Linked DNA regions of Neurospora crassa OR74A. The protein of the gene in region 1 interacts with the protein of each later gene in a pairwise test. Links are inferred from orthologs where the notes say so. Each region holds a gene or a part of one and is shown in the gene's direction. Other genes may lie near its edges.

Region 1 (6,467 bases):
CAAAGGTCTTGTTCGTGCCTCCGAACAGTTGAAGAAGAATACCCTTCTTCACATCATCCATCTCGTAAATTGATGGAGCCAAAGAACGTGAAAGGAGATCGTAGATATCCGGTCGAGCGGCAGTTTCCTTGATCCTCTCTTCCTCATCAGGAGAGACCTTTCGGACTTCGTCCATGCTCTGGCCATTAGCATGGGCTTCCTCCTCCTCGGCAAGGTCGAGGGTCGAGGGATCAGAACCCATCCTCTTGCGGTCGACCTTTTGTACATGGACAACATCAACATATGTCTTGTGCACGCTCTTGACCGTCCTCATGCGCGGGTTGACACGAACGGGGGTGACTTTAAAGATACCAGTGAGCTCAACTCTGTCACCGGCCTTGCAAAAGTCCACAAGCTCGTTATAGACGCAAACGGATACCGAGTGGGGTGTCTGACCAGCAGGCACGTTATCCGGAGTTTCTTGCAGCTTGATGACTTGCTTGTCTTCGAAAGCACATCTGTTGTGGATGATCTGCATTGAGTTCTTGGAGGCGCAGCGAGCCCGAGGACACTCTGTAGGCTCACGAATCTTGCCACGATCTAACTGAACGGTTATAGAATGACCACAAACACTGCACTTGAAAAATGCATCCTTCATGTCGGGGATGACCGGCGTGGTTCTGATGACAAGACCCTTGATGGACACAAGCTTGTCCATGTCAGATGGGTTGAGGTCACGGAGGTTGGTGATCTTGTCAAGACCCCACGGGCGAACCACATACGCCATCTGGCTGACTTGGTCCTCAATTGTGGGCGCCGCTGTTTGGGCAGGCCGCGGGGTGGGCGGTTCCTCGCTCCTTTCAGAGCTTGGGAAGTTCGGCTCCGAGCTTTGTGAGGCACCTGGAGCGGTCCTAGAGTTTTGGGATGCTCTTTGGCTGGCCATTTCCTTTTGCGCCAACTCCATCATACAGTCATGTACGCATTGATCCATGACCGGGATGATTTCGGTAGGATAGTGTTGGGCCTGATGCCATAACTTCAAGGTGCGCGGGTAGGACTTGAGGTCGCGGAGATCCAGATACAGCTTGTTGGTACCAAGCAGCAGCATATTCTCCAGTGCCTCCCAATATGGCTTCGAATCCGCATCCGGATGGCCAATAGTCTCGGCCTCGTCCGCGCCATCTGCCCACATCCGGTATTTCCTGGTGAAGTTCCTGAGAAAGTCCTTGAACGCGGAGAACGAATCGTCAAGAGAAATTGTTGTACCCCAAACAAGACCTTGGCTTTGTCCACCAAGGGCATCTGCCTCAGAGGTATTGGGGTTATTGGTGACAAACGAGTTGGCATCGGAGCCAGGGGCATCGCGGATCACACGACCGGCGTCGTCGAGGATGATTCGGCGGGGAATCTGGGCGGGAGTACGAAGAGGGTCCCCGTTGATGTCGCCTCGACGGGATCGACCGGCAACGGACCTTTGCGAGCTGACGAAGAGCTGACTGCTTTCGCTACGAAGATCGGACTGTTGAGTAAGCTGACGGCCCGGGCTAGAACTGGAGGCATAGCGGATGGGAGAGGAGTCTGCGGAGTGTGGTCAGCATTCAGTGTAGTCCTTTTTTTTTTTTTTTTGGTTGACAGCCATACCCCCAATTAACTGGCTCCGTCCGTTTGCGCGAGGAGTTCGGTCAGCATCGCTCTGGGTCTCTGTCTGCTGGCGCAAAGGCGAGCTCGGCGCATTGCCTTGGTGGGCAGTGCTCTGGGTATTGCTCATCTGCCTCAAGGGAGAAGATACCGGGGCGGCGCCATTGGCAGGCGAGGAGGGCTCGTAGAATAAGGGACTAGAGGCAAGCTGTGATGCGCGTGTCTGGCGAGGAGTTGCGCTCGAAGGACCAGCCTGCGAGCTGCGAGTAGTGCGGGGAGTAGCTGATTGGGAGCTTCTCGTTGTTCTGCGCTTTGCTGGGGAAGACATGTTTACTACTCTGTCCTCGGTGGTTTTGTTGAGATAATACAAAGTATGGAAACTAAACCAACAAGAAGGGACAGAAGACGGGCAGGTTGGGATGGAGACGCTGGAGTGTTGTTGTGGCGGCTCCCGATCCCTCTGTAATTGCGAGGTGGTTGGCAGGTCGGCAGCGTGTTCAGGACGGGCAAGGTGGATCACGTTCCTATCGAAAAAAAAGACAGTCGCGACACACGCGTCTCTGATAAAAGCACTTTACACGGCCGTTCGTGTCTGCGGGGGCTTACTCGCGTTGACCCATTAAAACCCCTGTCATACCCAAATGAGACGGACGAGGCCACTGCAGTGCTGCTCTTGAGTGCGAACTGTCAGGTACGTAAGGTACGTACCGCGCCGTGGGGCCTCGCTTGGAGTGTTCGCTCTGGATTCAAGCCACATCACAGGGACCGCTTCACCCCACAATACCCACGCTCACCACGGTAACCAACGATACCGCCTGCCCCTGGTCATTGTGAGCACTACCTACCTACGCAGCACCTCTGGAGTTCAAGCTAACCACTATATACCTACCCACTTGCGCCCATTGAAGTCGAGTTGCCCCTCGTCGCCGACCTTCTCCAACCGATACCAGTCTCGAGACAGCAATTGATCAAGAAACAAGAACCCCCAGATAACCAGTCAAGATGTCGCCAGGAATGTCGCTGTATAGCGTCAACGCTATAGGTACACTAGGCACCACGCTGCTCCTGGGTCCTGGCTTATACGCGCCACGTCGAGCAATGTTGACAATTGCGTTCCAACAGTAATCCTCTCCAGCGATGACGGTTCGCGGATATTCTCAAAATACTACACTCCTCCTCACGCTGCCGCTGGCGCACCAGGAACAGGAGTGGCCGCCGGACTCGGTACGCAATAGACGCTCCTTTTACCCCTTATTCGGTGTCGCATGTTCCCGTAAGGCTGACCAGCCCGAACCTTGTGCACAACAGCTTCCTCGAGCGCTTCCCAGAACCCCTATCCCGACAAGACTTCTCAAACCCGTTTCGAGAAGGGCCTCCTTCAGAAGACAGCTAAGCAGACGGGCGATATCCTCCTCTACGACAACAAGGTGGTGCTTTACAAGATGGAGTCGGACGTTGCTATCTACGTCGTTGGTAGCGCGGACGAGAACGAAGTTCTGCTCTACAACGTACTTTTGGCGCTTAGGGACAGCTTGCATATGCTCTTCAAGTGAGTATTTATGGCGAACGTGAAGGTGCCGGTCATGGGACATGATTTGGCTAACCACGGACTTTCTACTCAGGCAATCGATCGACAAGCGCACGATAGTCGAAAACTACGATCTGGTATCCCTCGCTATCGACGAAATCGTGGATGACGGCGTTGTTCTCGAGACCGATCCCACCATCATCATTCAACGATGCAGCAAGGCGCCGCCTGCCGATGTCAACCTCAGCCGCCTCGACCCCTTCACCGAGCAGGGTGTCAACAACTTGGCACAACTAGGCAAGGCTAAGCTTACTGACTGGCTTCGTCAGGGTCTCTAAGGGCATGTGCGGGTGGGTAATGACAAGGGAAGGAGTGTGGCGGATGGGAGCAACCAAGGTAAAGTTGGCGCATTGGTTCGTAAAAAGGTATCAGGCCCTTTTGTTTGGCGAGCCTTTTTATGGCAGAGTAATGAGCCAAAGGCGAAGCAAAAAGACACGAAAAGCCAACAAGTGATGGGTTAGCAGAAAACAGGAGTTATAGTCTTTTCCCTTGCGATCTATAGGGTTTGACCCCGTCTATATTCTAATGTCGGAAGCGGCTTTCCTCAGCCTGTTCATGACCGCCGCCGCGATATCGTCTCCATCACTCACACCCTCTACGAATATTACATCCGCGCCGCGCCTGTCCAGCTCTCGGAGGGCAGCGAAAAGGCCATGTGCCACCCCCTTGACATCGTTGCCCAGATCAATCTCCAGAAGCCTTGCCAACACCGTGGTGCCGTCCTCATCCAGCCATTGCCCTTCCCTGACAGCGAACCCAGTCTCGGCCACGTCCCCGCTGTCCTTCGCAGCAACATCATCAAGCCCCTGACTCCTCAACCCCCCGGCAACAGGCCATCTCCCCGTCCTAATAACCGCAACACTCTTCACGTTTCCCTTGCCCTCCTCCTCCCCAGCCGCTTCAACCGCCTCCCTCACATCCGCCTTCGGTACCTCCCTCCTCCCTCCCTCCGCCTCATACAACACCACCCTCGCCTTCGGGCTATAATGCTTATACTTCATCCCCGGCGCTCTCGGCGCCGTCTTTCCTCCGACCTCTGCCTGATCCTTATACGCCTTCTCCACGCCTTCCCACCCCTTACACTCCCTAATCTCCTCCAAGCTGACCCCGCCCGGCCTCAGCACCACAGGCGGCGAGCAAAGCCCGTCGACGACCGTGCTTTCCACCCCTACGCTGCATGATCCTCCATCCAAGATCAGTGCGATGCGACCCCGTAGATCGTCTAACACGTGTTGTGCGGCGGTGGGGCTGGGTTTAGTGCTGGCGTTCGCAGAGGGCGCGGCGAGGGGGGCGTTGGCGAGTTTGATCAGCGAGCGAGCCAGCGCCGAGGCGGGCATTCGGCACCCGAATGTGGGTAGGCCGGCGGTTACTTCCGGAGCGAGGAGGGAGGGGGAGGGGTTGGGTAGCAGGATGGTGAGGGGGCCGGGCCAGAAGCGGGTTATGAGGGGGTGATAGATGGCTGGGATGGGGTCTTCTTCGTCTCCTGCTGAGGAGAAGGAGGGAGAGATGAATGACCGTAACATGCTCAAATCGCAAACGTGCACGATCAAAGGATTATCGCTTGGTCGACCTTTGGCGGCATAGATTCCCTTGACGGCAGCGCTGCGGGTGGCATCGGCGCCTAGGCCGTAGACGGTTTCCGTGGGGAAGGCGACAGGAATGTCGGTGGTGCGGAGGTGGTGGGCTGCTTCGCGGATGGGAGACAGTATATTCTCATTTTCTGATGTAGTTGGGACCTCCCATGTGTTGAGATTGCTAGTTTTCGTTTTGCTTCCATCTTTGTGTTCTGCTGACTCCTCCTTCCAGTGGCCGAGCACTTGGATGTTGCTGTCGTCCACCTTCACTTTGAGAATCCGGGTTTCCATTGTCGTCGAAGTTGTCATAGCGGGTGCCATCAATGGCACTGCCGTAGATTTTGGTCTAGTTATGTCTGTGGTTATAGTGTGGTGGTGTCGATTGAGGATTGGGGTGAGTTGTGGGAGGTGCAAGCGTTTGAATCGGGTAGTGAGAGTTAGAATATTGGCGCAAATAGTTCCCTTCATTCAGGGGATTCGACGATTTCGAGAGATGGATTGAAAACCCAGAGTCTGTCGATTATCTTGGCGATTTTAGGCAACGGATATCTTGTGAGGCATCGGTTGTGTTAGACAACAAGTCTCGAACTTGGTGGTGGTGGTCAAGCTCAGGGTTTGGCTCCCTTTGAGTCACTGTGGAGAAATTTTTCTCTTTTATCCGTCTCAACTTGAACCCAAAACCAGTTTACGCCCTATTCTAGGCTGCTCATCTTACAATCACCACCACAACAAAACTTAACTACAACACATGTTGAGCATGGACGGCCTCTTCAATCTTGCTGAACTATGGATAGTAATTCATCTACCAACACATATTGTGATTCGTGAATTGTTTGTATGATACCGCTTATCTATACCTGACCCTAGATCCATGCTACACCATATACCCCTGGACCTCAGTAAGCACACCAAATACACACATTAAACAATTACTTCAGTGTGGTTCTGAGACAAATAACATCCCGTTACAAGACCCTACCTCCCTCAGACACTCGTGTCCACCTCACTTCCCCTCCTCCCCTGCCTGACCGGAAGCGTATTCACATGCGCATTCGCAAACCCCAAGTGCTCCGAGAAGCTAGCCAACAATCTCATCACATCATCCCTCACCTCCTCTCGATTCGCCATGCCCTGCATCACCCTGACTCTCGGCGGCTCCGGAACATGAGGCATGTGCATCATATCTGTCGAACCCTGGCTATTGCTGTGGCCATGACCATGACCATGATATTGACCATGACCATGACCATGATGCACCTGGTGACCATGATGCCCGCCACCATGGCTGCCCGTGCCATTATTCCCGTTCATGCTCCCGCCCATGCCGTACCCTCGAGGCGGATGGTGCGAATCCGGGTCCGGCCGCATGCCGCTTGGCCGCCGGCGACTACGGTTGCGCCCTTCGCCACTCATCGCCATCGGATCCATGCTGCCGCCCAGGTATTCCGACTCGGCGTACTCGCCAGCTGAATAACCCCCCACGTCGTCGTCGGTGGCGTAGCTGTAGCTGTCCGCGCGGGAGTGGGCGCGGCTGCTGGTCCTGCTGCCGATGCTTCCGCCGCCGATGCTACCGCCACCGATGCTACCGTTCCCTATGCTGCCTCCACCGTTGACGGATGAAGCATAGTCGGGCGTACCACGACCGTTGGTCCCAATGAAATGCTCCTCTGACGGCGCCTGAGCGACCC
Region 2 (6,383 bases), on another chromosome or scaffold:
TAATATTCGCGGGAAAGCAAAGACGAGGGCAAGGGAATGACGATTTTCTGGGTCGAGTGATGGCGTTCTGCCGTCAACAGTCAAGTTGTATCTGTCTAGTAGCAAAACTCCACGGACTCATGCCCGCCTTGTTGGTGGGCACTCCAATGGCCCCGGGTCCGCTCCCATTTTCCACTTTCAACCTTAATTGATGAGGGTGGGTAGGTGGGTGGGCGGTTGATGGGCAGACAAAGATGAAAACTAGCTGGCGGTATCGGCCTCCCGCCTCCATCTTGGGTCGCTCGCTTGCGATTGTACCTCTCGGGGCCAAAACAACACACACACAGGTACAGCATGCGATGCAGTTGCCACCCGCGCACGCCGTGCTGCCAAGCGGGTTGATGTTGACTTCCACTTTGCAGTGCGGGATTGGGAGAAGCGCTGCCGAGCCAAAGCATGCAGTTTGGCGGTGTCGACGGAAGCTTCAGGGGTTCGATAGAGCTTATCGCGGTGGAGATCCTTCACGTCAGTAGCCCCACCGAGGTAACTTCCACTTCCATCTCGAGTGACCCTTCCCGATCCGTCGCACATGCCAGGAACGTCGACGACGAAGGGCTCCAGGATGGACCGAGTTTCACGAAGCATTTTGTACTACTTGGATTTACCATAAACTGAAGCCATTTCGCATTGGATGTGTCTCGGAAGGAAAGTCTACCCCGCGTTACTCGTCAAGCGAAAAGTTACACAGCATAACCGGTCTACCGCCAATAAGAGCCAAAAGTCGGAGAGTTGGATCGATTAACTTCTTACTTTGACATGTGCGGACCTTGTTACTGCTTTAAAGTTGGTAGCCCAACCTTTTGTCACTTGATCAATCGTGATTCAAGACCAGCCATGGCAGGTCTCTCTTCACATAGAGGTACGAATCGAATTTGTTGTACGAATCGTACAGCGGCATGCTTTTGGTGTGCTTCGTAATGAGATGTCGGTGTTCCATCACTCGGTCTCCGCCTGGCAACTGCATCGGATATCTTGCCTCACACTGCTTGGTTGGTCATCATCAATAGCTGACACAAACAGCCATGACGACTCTTAGGTTCGGGGGCCAGTGGGGCGATTGGTCGATAATGTATACGATTGTGCCAGTCCCGAAGTTATCCATGTTAAATCCAGTTTCAAGAAACCCATCTGCGCCGCCAATAGATAGAAAAGAACGCCTTTATAAAACGCCGCATTATCCCACAAAATCTCTCCTTTCCATGAGTAAGGATATATCAAACTCGGGGTATTCGTTCGTGTCGGAAGATTAAATGGGCTTGATCTTGAAGTGCAAGGCAATGAGACTGAACACCAGCGCCTTGAGGTCCTGAACGAGGTAGTAGAAGACGCGCAAGCCTTCTGGGTCGGCCGAGTCCGTAACATCGTTGATCGATCCGATCTTGGCAGTCTATTTCCTGTATTAGCTCTGAACATTTTGCAGAAATAGATTCCGACACTGGCAAGACGCACCTCGAATGAAATGTGGTCGTTCCCGAGGCGGATCTCCAACTCCTGCTTTCCGTCTTTGTTTTTGGTCGGCCATTTCTCGTCGTCTTCCCTGTTGGCCTGTCAGCAGCCGCTCCATGTTGTTTGTATAAAAGGGTGAACATGATGTCGTACTTCATAATCTCGCTGTCCTTGATGATGCGCTTGATCTCGTCAATGACCAGAGAGCTGACGCACACTAAAAGAGACCCTCGTCAGTATATGGATGTCCACGGCCGGCTAAACAGTGTTTCCTACTCTCTTTCCTGATCAGACTGTCGTTACGGTAGTTGGAGTTGTTGGCATATCGGGCAGTGGCGCTACGTCCGTCGCCGAGGACGCGAAAGTCGAACTCTGTAGTCAAAGGGCGGTAGTTTAGCATCGTGGTCGTGGAAACGTGGGAGCTTGCGTCTCGAGGCGCAAATGGCTGAACACACCTAGGAACTCGTGGCCGAAGCGGCCCGAGTGGCCAGAGCTAAGCCGGCTGTTAGCATGGTGTTTTCAATGTGTGAGTGAATCGAATCCCGTAGGGGTGTACATACTAGTAGCGCAGATAGAAGGGTTCGTTGGCGGCTGACATGGCTGTTTGTTGCTTCTGTCAGTAGTAGGCTTTGCAAGACAAGAGGCAGAGATGCAGCCAGCGGCTTGGTTCCTGTCGCTTTTGGATGGACAACCTTGAAAGTCGCGCCCGCGCGGCCACGCTCCAGTGACATTGGCGGGGCACACGGCCCCACACTTGACCCCAGCTTGGCCCAGGGGCATTGTTTGGGCTCCAAGCTGACTCCGGGTTCACGAGCCTTCCTGACAGCTGGCAATCCGTATCTACACGTGATCCTTCGACTGTTTGGACAAGCTGGCAGATGGCAGACTCGGCCAGGAGATGGAGGCTTGGTGAGGCCGTAAGGGTGTCGGGGGGTCCGTGCTTCGCCGTGTGCTGTTGCGGCCGGCCAGAATGCCACATCTCCCAGGGGCCGTCTCTCGATAGAATTGACCGTCCTATCCACGCTGGCTCTTCCAGACTTCAACAACAAGCACAGGTGATGCTCCGCTCTCTCACCTCGCCGGCGCACTCCAGACAACCCTTTCATTGCGCAGCCGTCTCTTGATTTTCGGCCAACCACGACCCTGTCAGTCCAGGGGGAGGAAACCACATCCAGCACCAAGGCCAGCTCATCGTCACTCTTCAGGAGCTCGAGGCAGCCACTCAGTCCATCCATTTACTAGCACCACGCAACCTACAACGGGGCAAACAACACCTTACCACACCCGCCCCTCTCTAATTTCGATCCGCGACTCCTCTTCAGGACGCCCGGCCAGCTACTTTCTACCAAATTCAATCTCAACTTTAATCAAAGACGGCCCGGCCGCCGCCAGCTCTCCAACATGTCGTTCCTCGAAAATGCCTACAGCTTGGTCAAGGACAATGCCGTCGACGGCACCCCAACCGTGCAGGAGCTCAAGACGCAGCTCGAAAAGGGCACCGACGAGACCAAGATCGAGACCATGAAGCGCATTCTTACCATCATGCTCAATGGCGATCCCATGCCCCAATTGCTCATGCACATTATCCGATTCGTAATGCCTTCTAAATCCAAGCCCCTGAAGAAGCTTCTATACTTCTACTATGAGATCTGCCCCAAGCTTGATGCCCAAGGGAAGCTCAAGCAGGAGTTCATCCTAGTATGGTAAGGCATTCCGTGTCCGTCTGGGCATGCTGGCCCCTCCAAGCTGACCAGCCATTGCCTCGCAGTAACGGCATCCGAAACGACTTGCAACACCCGAACGAGTACATCCGAGGCAACACGCTGCGCTTCCTGTGCAAGCTGCGGGAGGCCGAACTTCTCGAGCCTTTGCTCTCCTCAGCCCGGGGCTGTCTCGAACATCGCCATGCCTATGTCCGAAAGAACGCCGTCTTTGCTGTCGCTTCCATTTACCAGCACTCCCCGTCGCTTATTCCCGATGCTGCGGACTTGATCTCCACGTTCCTCGAAGGCGAAAGCGACCCAACCTGCAAGCGGAATGGCTTCGCCGCCCTTGCCAGCATCGACCACGACAAGGCTCTTCTCTATCTCAGCACCGTCTTTGACGGTATTCCCAACGCAGATGAGCTTTTGCAGTTGGCCGAGTTGGAGTTCATCAGGAAAGATGCTGTTGTCAACACCCAGAACAAGGCGCGCTACCTCCGTCTTATTTTTGACCTTTTGGAAGCTAGTGCCTCGACCGTTATCTACGAAGCGGCCTCGTCGTTGACGGCCCTCACCAACAACCCTGTCGCTGTCAAGGCTGCTGCCAGCAAGTTCATTGAGCTTGCGATCAAGGAGGCGGATAACAATGTCAAGCTTATCGTTCTGGACCGTGTCGATCAACTCCGCCAAAAGAACCCCGGCGTCCTGGACGACCTGACCATGGAGGTGTTGCGCGTTCTCTCTAGCACGGATATCGATGTGCGGAGGAAGGGTCTCGAGATCGCTTTGGAGATGGTCTCCAGCAAGAACGTGGAGGAAGTCGTGCTTTTGCTCAAGAAGGAGCTGTCCAAGACGGTTGACCAGGAGTACGAGAAGAACAACGAGTACCGCCAGCTTCTTATCCACTCCATCCATCAATGCGCTATCAAGTTCTCCGAAGTCGCCGCTAGCGTCGTCGGCTTGCTCATGGACTTTATTGCCGATTTCAACAACAACTCCGCCGTTGATGTTATTAACTTTGTCAAGGAGGTCGTCGAGAAGTTCCCTCAGCTCAGGCCAGCAATCATTGCGAGACTGGTAGATACCCTGAGTGAAGTCCGCGCTGGTAAGATCTACCGCGGTATTCTCTGGATTATCGGCGAGTACTCGCTTGAGGAGAAGGATATCAGGGACGCATGGAAGAGAATTCGGGCAAGCCTGGGTGAGATCCCGATCTTGGCATCCGAGCAACGGTTGCTGGATAATGTTGATGGTGATGCCGAGGAGAAGGAGAAGGAGCAGGTCAATGGCTCAAGGGCAGCGCCGACTGGCTCACGCAAGGTCCTTGCTGACGGCACATACGCTACCGAGACTGCCCTTACCAGCCAGTCTACAGCTGCTGCACGCCTGGAGGCTGTCAAGGCTTCGTCGAAGCCCCCTCTCAGGCAACTTATCCTTGACGGCGATTACTACCTTGCCACTGTTCTCGCATCGACCCTTACCAAGCTTGTCATGCGTCATGCCGAGATCTCCTCGGAAGAGGCTCGCACGAACGCCCTCCGCGCTGAGGCTATGCTCATCATGATCTCCGTCATTCGTGTTGGTCAGTCGCAGTTCGTCAAGGCCCCTATTGATGAAGATTCGGTGGATCGTATCATGAGCTGTGTGCGCTCCCTTGCCGAGTTCACCGCGCACAAGGAGTTGGAGACCGTTTATCTCGAGGATACCAGGAAGGCGTTCAGGGCGATGGTCCAGGTTGAGGAGAAGAAGCGCGCAGCAAAAGAGGCCCACCAAAAGGCAAAGACGGCCACCCAGGTGGACGATGTTTATCAAATCCGCCAGCTTTCCAAGAAGAATGCCACTGATGGGGCTGATGCTTTCGATGCCGATCTCGAGCGTGCCACTGGTGGAGACAACAGCTCGGCTGAGGACCTATCTGGCAAGCTTAGCCGCGTTGTCCAGCTCACCGGTTTCTCCGACCCTGTTTATGCTGAGGCCTATGTCAAGGTCCACCAGTTCGACATTGTACTAGACGTACTACTCGTCAACCAAACAACTGAGACCCTCCAGAACCTTACCGTCGAGTTCGCAACTCTCGGTGACCTCAAGGTTGTGGAGAAGCCGACAAGCCAGAATCTGGGACCCCACGACTTCCACAACGTTCAGTGCACCATCAAGGTCTCCTCCACAGATACTGGTGTCATCTTTGGCAACGTCGTGTATGAGGGTGCTCACTCCACTGATACCCACGTGGTCATCCTGAACGACTTGCACGTCGACATCATGGATTACATCCAACCGGCAACTTGCACTGAGACCCAGTTCCGCACCATGTGGACCGAGTTTGAGTGGGAGAACAAGGTCAACATCAACAGCAAGGCGAAGAGCCTACGTGAGTTCCTGGACCTGCTTATGGCGTCCACAAATATGAACTGCTTGACACCAGAGGCCAGTCTTAAGGGTGATTGCCAGTTCTTGAGCGCCAACCTTTACGCAAGAAGCGTTTTCGGTAAGTTTTCTCGTCATTCGCATAGCACTTTCGGAAATAGCATCGCTAACTTCCCTTCTCTTATTCAGGCGAGGACGCTCTAGCAAACTTGAGCATCGAAAAGGAAGGTGAAGACGGACCCATTACTGGTTTCTTGAGGATACGCAGCAGATCGCAAGGGTTGGCCCTCAGTCTTGGCTCCCTCAAGGCATTGAACAAGATTGGTTCTGCCGCTTGAACAGATTTTCTCTCCGGCTAGATGAGATGAAAAAGATGATGTATGGGGTGATTGGGAGGGTTGTATAGCGATTAATTCATCACTTGATATTCTTTTCACCGTTGTGGTTTGTTTCAGTTGTTGTTATCATAGTCTTTGTTACATTTCCACTAGTTGATGCTTGTGAGAGATTCGGATGAGACTCATGTCACTCTCTTTTGTATGCTTCGATTAATGGCTGAAATGTAAAGGGTTTTCGACATATAGTGTGATGGATGAGGAAGACAAAAGCAGAGGATGAACCCAGAAGCAGGATGAATTATCCAGATGGAAAAATCAGATATAGACACAAAATCAATCCTTGACAGAAAACCAGCCAGGTGTGATTAATGCCATCCTCAGTCATCAGTCAGTGGATCTCTTAGACAAGCTCAAACAGACACGCGCATTATTCTCATTCATATATAGTCACCCATAACTTCGTCCACCATCCCTTCCATCACTCATTTCC
Region 3 (6,469 bases), on another chromosome or scaffold:
TCCTCGAGCAAGTCCAGGAACCGGCCCTCGGGGTCCGGACGGACCAAAAGATTGAGCGTTAGGGATGTCTCTGTGACGATTCCTTTAGCTAGAAGGACATTGTAGCAGTAAATGATCTGATGAAAGCTGCGCTGCAAAAAGTCTTTACTGGACCTTTCGCCAAAGTTCAAATCAAGTGAGTCAATAACGATGACCAGTTCTTCTCCGGGTGTTAACTCCGAGGCAATGACAGAACGGATAGATGCAAGTAATTCCGACAACGGTGCGGTTGCGATCTCAGTATCGGTAAGAAAGTAGGTCTCAGGATCCATGTCCGAGTTCCCAAAGAGGGCATAACTGCCACCATCATACTGGACTGTAATATCTGTGATGCTGAATGCAGCATCATCAACAATGGCCTCGTCATGGTCAATCTGGCTTTCCTCGAGCTGGCGATCCTCGCTCACGGCCTCGCCCGCTTGTTCAGCTCCCGAGACAGCTGTATCCAGAGGGTTGGTAGCTGCAACACCACCGACGTCCAGACCGACATCGGTCTCGGCAACTTGTTCAGTAGCCTCCTGATCAACAGGGTTCTTTGTCTCGGCCTCACGCCCGATCGGCTGCTCTTCCGCATCGTCGCCCAATTTGGACTCAGCAAGATCAATCTGGACGTCCTGGGCTTCCTGTTCCAATTCACGTAGATCTGGATTCTCGTCATTTGCAGACGGCGCTTTTGATATAGTGGTATCTTCGGGCTCGTGTTCAGTAACAGCCTCTTCTGCAACGCCCTCCTCCTCTTCATAACCTATCTCGTCATTGTATGCCATGGAGACATCCTGAGCATCTTGCTCGACGCCGCCTGCCGCCTCTGCTTGCTCATCGTTGGTATTATGCTGAGCCTCGAGGTCATCGACAGCAAATTCAACATCCGCTGTGGCGGGTTGGGCATCAAGATCGATCGCCTGGTACTCATCTTCCTTGTCATGTAGGTCGTCGAGTTCTAAGACAAGCTCGTCGGCTGGCATGCCGGCATCTAGCATCAAGTCATCGTCAAATACCGCCTTCCCCGCCTCGGCACGAACGTCGAAGCTAACTTGCTCCATGATGATTGGCGGTTGGCGGGTCAATCAAAACACGCGCCACAGACGAGTGAGTTGGATCAAGAACGAAAATTTGGAAAATGACGCAAAACTTCCACGAAGTTTCTAAGAAGGTGCGACGTATTGCCGTTGTCAAGAAATTGTACGTCCAGCAAGCGTCATGAAAGAAGCGAAGACGTAGAAAATTGGTGCACTGGTCAAAACCCCAAGCTTGGCGATGGGTTTCGGTGGATGTCTTGGACTGAAAGGCTGTGACTTCTTCTTGGAAGCGAAGCCGTAGGGCATATAGAGACCACGGGTTCTGGAGTTATGGCTGAGAATGGGCAACCCCGCACTCGACAAAGAACGCCCGACAAACAACGGCGCTTCTGGGGCGCAAAATGAAACGGTGAAGGGATGTGAGGCGACACGTGGACTGGCGGAATCCGACAACACGATTTAACCGCTGTTAAGAGTTCTGGGGCGGATGTTCTGGGCAAAAGTGCACATCGAATCGAGGTATGGAATGCTGAAACGCGGCAGGCAGATAATCGGGATGCCTCACTTTCACGGAGCGGCGGAGCTGGGAGGTGGGTGAAGTGCAACGGAGTCGAGTAAGCTCTTGATGACGAGGCGTGTCACAAAGGTAGCGTAGGTATTTGATGATCCGTAATCGAGACTCGTATTGGCTGGGCAATGCTTTGACGCGATTGAGAAACAAGTTTCTCGATGGCGGATGGTTTTTCGAGGTAGGCGATGGTTTGGATGGAAATGGAAATCGTGAAATTTCGACACACGGGGCCGTCTGTTGTGCGTGTTGAAGAAAGAGGTGCAGTTGTTGGTTTTGCCGCAGTGTGTGGACAACGGTGAAATTCGCAGAATTGATCATAGGAAGGAAACTGAACCTAAGCAAGTGCCGCATGGAGTTTAGCGGGCCCTGTGGGTGCCTAGAGGTACCTACCTACTGTACTTGTATCTATGGTGTGCCCCTGGATTTCTTTTGCCAGCTGGCAGCCCCTCGTCGGCCGGCCAGGACGCTGCCACCGTGTACGCAGTAGGTTGCCCTGGCCCGCCTGAACCCGACTGCCCTGACGCTGCAGTGAAGCTGCCGTCCAGGTACCTCTACCTATCGCTGCCCGCTGGGTCCCTCCAGATGGCACCTTCAGTTCAATTGGACCTGACCGACAGCACACCTCAGCACGGCAACGGAAAGACCACATCAACCTTCCCGTCCACGACAACTTTCAGGAGGTGAAGCTCACGACTTACCTCCAACGCATCCCAAAGCTCCCTGCACTACCACGAAGCGCCCTTCGAGTCAGTAGTCGTGGTTGTTGTTTACTGCTGTCAAAATGGTAACTCATCCATCCCTGTCTCCTGGTGGGAAGAAGCGATTGACGGAACATGTCAGGTTGTCCTCGCTGCCTCCATCTGCACCCGCGGCGGCAAGGCCGTCTTAGCCCGCGCCTTCAACGACATCAAGCGCTCCCGCATCGAAGCTCTCCTCGCCTCGTTCCCCAAGGCCGCCGACTCGGGTACTCAGCACACCATTGTCGAGCAAGACAATGTCCGATTCGTCTACCAGCCCCTGGACGAGCTGTACATGGTCCTCATCACCAACAAGCAGTCCAACATCCTTCAGGACATCGACTCGCTCCACCTTTTTGCCCAGGTTGTCACCAGCACCTGCAAGAGCCTTGACGAGCGCGAAATCCTCCGAAATGCCTACGAACTGCTCAGCGCCTTCGATGAGCTGGTGACTCTCGGTTACCGGGAGAACCTCACCATCAGCCAGATCAAGACCTTCCTCGAGATGGAAAGCCACGAGGAGCGCATTCAGGAAATCATTGCCCGCAACAAGGAGCTGGAGGCCACCGAAGAGCGCAAGAGGAAAGCCAAGCAGTTGGAGATGCAGCGCAAGGAGTCGGCCAGAACTGGTCGGTCCGCGGTACCCCGGACGCCGGTATATCCCACATACACCCCGCCGGTGCGACCTGCTGTCACCGAGTCCTATGATACGTACGAAGCCGAGAAGAACAAGGTCAAGTATGTGTTAGTCCCTCTTCTTTTCAGGCTGGCCTGCAAGCTCACATTCTTCTAGGTTCAATGCGCCAAAGGGCAAAGGTATGCAGTTGGGCAAGAAGTCCAAGAATACGGATATTTTCGAGCGCGTGAAGGGGGATCTTGGACACGAGGCCGAGGAAGCGCCCCTTGTTCCGGTAGCCGCGCCGGCAGCTGCCGCAGAGCCTGCTGCTTCCAGAGTCTCTTCGACACTCGACAGGGATGCTATTCACGTCCTTATCAACGAGGCAATCAGTGCCAAGCTGTCGAGAGATGGTGCCCTCGAATCCCTCTCGGTCAGCGGTGACCTCCAGCTTCGCGTCTCCGACCCATCGCTTTCAAGGATCAAGCTCAACCTCAGCGCCACACCCACCCACGGCGCCCAGTTCCGCACTCACCCGAACGTCGATAAGAATGTCTTCAATAGCTCCCAGGCTATCCAGTTGTCTCAAATCACAAAGGGTTTCCCCCTTAACAACTCTGTCGGAGTTCTAAGGTGGCGGGCCAGTCCCAGAGTCGACGACACCAGCGCACTACCAATCAGCTTCACCGTTTGGGTCAACAAGGGCTCGGATGGCAACAGCACATTGACGGTCGAGTACGAGCTCACTGGCGGAGATACCCTCAAGGACGTTACTGTCGTCATCCCCTACACGAGCGCAGAGCCTCAGGTGTCTAGCTTCGACGCTGTGTATGAGGTGTCTGGTGACAGTCTAGAGTGGTCGATAGGCACCGTAAGCGAGGAGAACGCCAGCGGATCATTCGAGTTTGAGGCGCAGACCGATGACGAGAACGAGTTCTTCCCGATGCAAGTACGGTTCTCCAAGTCGTGGCCGTTCGTGGAGGTTGATGTAAGATGTCGCCCCCTCATGTCAGAAAAACGGGTAAAGACGGAACAACTGACACATTCTAGGTTCAATCTGTTGAGCTGGTGGATGAAGGTGAAGAGGTTTCGTTTTCCAAGGACATCAGATCGGTGGCCGACAAGTTCCTCATTGAGTAGGGTTTGTTGTCATTGTTTTGAGCAGAACCAAAAAAGGGCGACCGTAGCATGCCGGCCAGGCGTCTCGATCATCATCTTCCACACCAGAATTAGAGTAATGTATGGGAAGCAACCGAGTTGTCCAACTCCCTTTATAATGAATACTGTTGTACATGGTCCGCGCCAGTGGGTGCTCGAGCTGTCATTCCTTTTCTTCCGTTGATACCCAAGGTCATACTTGACTTTTTGAACAAGAGGTTTTTGACGCTCCCGGGATCCTTGAAAGTAACATGTAAGCTACGAGCCCTACGCATTTTTAAGGGGATGGATACCCTCATGATCCAGTACCATATAGAAAGAAGCCTATCTACGCAAAGAGCTATCCAACTCAATCATCGCTGTTGTAAGCACAGAGTATGGTAATTGATGTCGATGTGTGTAGTTCGCTAGGTAAGCTTGTAAAGGTCATACCTACACAGTACGGATGCCCCTGCACAGTATTTCTATTACTGTGGCAACTGCTCTATCTGCACTGTGTTTTGAATCAACAGGCAGGACGAGACCACACGACTGAATCGCAGAACAGCAGCAACAACAACAACAACATCACGCCGAGGCAAGTGAAGCTGTAGGTCTAGCAAACCAAAACCGAAATCCCCCAAACATACAAACCGACTTGCCAAGTTATGGACTTGCGCGTGTCATTCAAATCAAAATCTTGCGTCCCGGAGTTGAAGGCTGGAACCACTTAGCCGCTGCTTTCCACGTCCAAATAACATCATCCAACTGAAAGTCACCAACGGATCCTACAAAATGTCCCCAAATGGGCAGCTTCAGCTATTCAGTTCAAGCGCCTTGAGTGTGCCAGTCTCAGGCAAGCAAATCGTATGCAATCCCGTGATCGACTTGACAGCCACGGTCGGCGACGGTAACACGATCTATGTCTGGCGTGGCAGCAATCAGTTGGTCTCGAAGCATACAGAACGAAACCAGAAGGTTGATGCAATCAAGTGGAAAGAGGATGGTAAGTGAAGATCTTCCGATGGCTGTTGAGGGAAACCACTGTCTTACAGGGAATTCGCAGGCCAATTCTTAGCTGCCGGCTGGAGTGACGGCGTGGTGAGGTTGATCGGCTTGGAAAGCAACAAAGCCGTGCATCACATCCGCGTGGCAGGTCATGGTGGAAAGCCTTCTAAGATTGAGTTCATCGCCTGGGCCAAAAACGAAACTGGTAGGAAGTCGCGTGCCAGGAAGCATAATGACCTCCCCGACTTGCCGTGGCGGGATCTCATGCTCGATGAGAAGAAGCATGTTCTGGACCTCCCTCATGAGTTGACTTTTCTGGAAATCGAGACTGCTCTCCCCAAAATTAGTCCTCTTCCTTTGTCGGGAGGCATCGGGTATGTGTACAGGACCCATGAGCTTGCAGTGCCGGGAGACAAACCTAAAAAAGTGATGGTGTAACTGACATGGCTATAGGGACGATATGTTTGTTTTCTCTACCGCGGCATCACTCGAGTTCGTGTTCCGCCCTTACCAGCCCGAGGACTCGGACAATGTACATGTCATGATCACCGGCACAGCCGACGGAGGCATTCATCTCAGCATCTACGATTCATTTGTCATTGGAACCTTTCAACATGTACCGCATACGGCCAGAGGACCCGCCTCAAACGAGGGTCCTTTCCAGCTTTGCGGTCATAGTTCCCATCATAAAGTGCCTACTCACGCACTCCTCCTAAGACCCAAGGAGGGTAGTCCGACATCCCTTTTTCTTGTTCCGATGGACCTCACTTTTGTACACAAATCGCCTATCAACCTGTCTTTGTTGGCGTCGAACACGACAACACTTCAGAATCTCCTTCGGTATCTGAAGCAGGCACAGTCACACATGGTTAGTGAGTGGAAATCGACAAGAGAGCTTCCTGGGCGTTTTCTACGTGGTGTTCAAGAGGACCTAGAGAGGAGTCCCAAGGGGCCGGTGACCATAGTCCAGGCATTGTATCACACAGTTGCAACAGGACATGTGTTTCCTCTGGTGAAGGAGTGGCTTGTCGACAGCCTAGCCGAGAGAGTAAGTTGAGTAGGGAGATGTGAAGAGTGCCATAGGACTGACAAGTATTTAGGGACACAAGCGTTGGGATAAAGCAGTTGTAAGCGGCCTGCAAAATCTCAGAAGCCTCGTCCATGAGAACTTCTTGCCTGCGCTCGAGAGGTGCGGCATCGTGCTCAGCCGGCTCCTAGGCCTCGCTCGTTTCCACGGCTCGCGTGAGAACATCGGCTTTAACGCCGCGCAGATCGAGAAGCTGTTGGACATGGTCGCGGCGCTGACCTTGGTCTCGTACAAGATCCTACTGGCGGTCATGGA

What was found.
Region 2: the proteins of NCU02538 (region 1) and NCU04404 interact in binary tests that used the Saccharomyces cerevisiae proteins (3 or more experiments, as listed by UniProt). The link is inferred for Neurospora crassa OR74A from reciprocal best matches to the Saccharomyces cerevisiae genes RET3 and SEC26.
Region 3: the proteins of NCU02538 (region 1) and NCU00493 interact in binary tests that used the Saccharomyces cerevisiae proteins (3 or more experiments, as listed by UniProt). The link is inferred for Neurospora crassa OR74A from reciprocal best matches to the Saccharomyces cerevisiae genes RET3 and RET2.

What each region holds. Positions count from the first base shown.
Region 1 is NC_026501.1:2,661,200-2,667,666, reverse strand, and holds NCU02538 (coatomer zeta subunit), read left to right. Parts: upstream 1-2,446; 5' UTR 2,447-2,619; coding exon 2,620-2,659; intron 2,660-2,739; coding exon 2,740-2,841; intron 2,842-2,925; coding exon 2,926-3,166; intron 3,167-3,239; coding exon 3,240-3,483; 3' UTR 3,484-3,720; coding exon of another isoform or gene 3,721-5,247; 3' UTR 5,248-5,331; downstream 5,332-6,467. Other genes in the region: NCU02539 (cell division control protein 54), read right to left, coding at 1-1,557, 1,621-1,945; NCU11234 (translation initiation protein Sua5), read right to left, coding at 3,721-5,247; pod-6 (polarity-defective 6, variant 1), read right to left, coding at 5,764-6,467. UniProt on the Saccharomyces cerevisiae protein: The coatomer is a cytosolic protein complex that binds to dilysine motifs and reversibly associates with Golgi non-clathrin-coated vesicles, which further mediate biosynthetic protein transport from the ER, via the Golgi up to the trans Golgi network.
Region 2 is NC_026504.1:3,470,307-3,476,689, forward strand, and holds NCU04404 (coatomer beta subunit), read left to right. Parts: upstream 1-2,448; 5' UTR 2,449-2,886; coding exon 2,887-3,188; intron 3,189-3,253; coding exon 3,254-5,676; intron 5,677-5,744; coding exon 5,745-5,893; 3' UTR 5,894-6,248; downstream 6,249-6,383. Other genes in the region: NCU04405 (mago nashi protein), read right to left, coding at 1,286-1,426, 1,489-1,576, 1,639-1,702, 1,762-1,857, 1,941-1,978, 2,046-2,083. UniProt on the Saccharomyces cerevisiae protein: The coatomer is a cytosolic protein complex that binds to dilysine motifs and reversibly associates with Golgi non-clathrin-coated vesicles, which further mediate biosynthetic protein transport from the ER, via the Golgi up to the trans Golgi network.
Region 3 is NC_026503.1:4,046,594-4,053,062, forward strand, and holds NCU00493 (coatomer subunit delta), read left to right. Parts: upstream 1-2,130; 5' UTR 2,131-2,410; coding exon 2,411-2,413; intron 2,414-2,469; coding exon 2,470-3,104; intron 3,105-3,159; coding exon 3,160-3,970; intron 3,971-4,032; coding exon 4,033-4,122; 3' UTR 4,123-4,482; downstream 4,483-6,469. Other genes in the region: NCU00492 (hypothetical protein), read right to left, coding at 1-1,082; NCU00494 (hypothetical protein), read left to right, coding at 4,915-5,125, 5,186-5,501, 5,581-6,175, 6,228-6,469. UniProt on the Saccharomyces cerevisiae protein: The coatomer is a cytosolic protein complex that binds to dilysine motifs and reversibly associates with Golgi non-clathrin-coated vesicles, which further mediate biosynthetic protein transport from the ER, via the Golgi up to the trans Golgi network.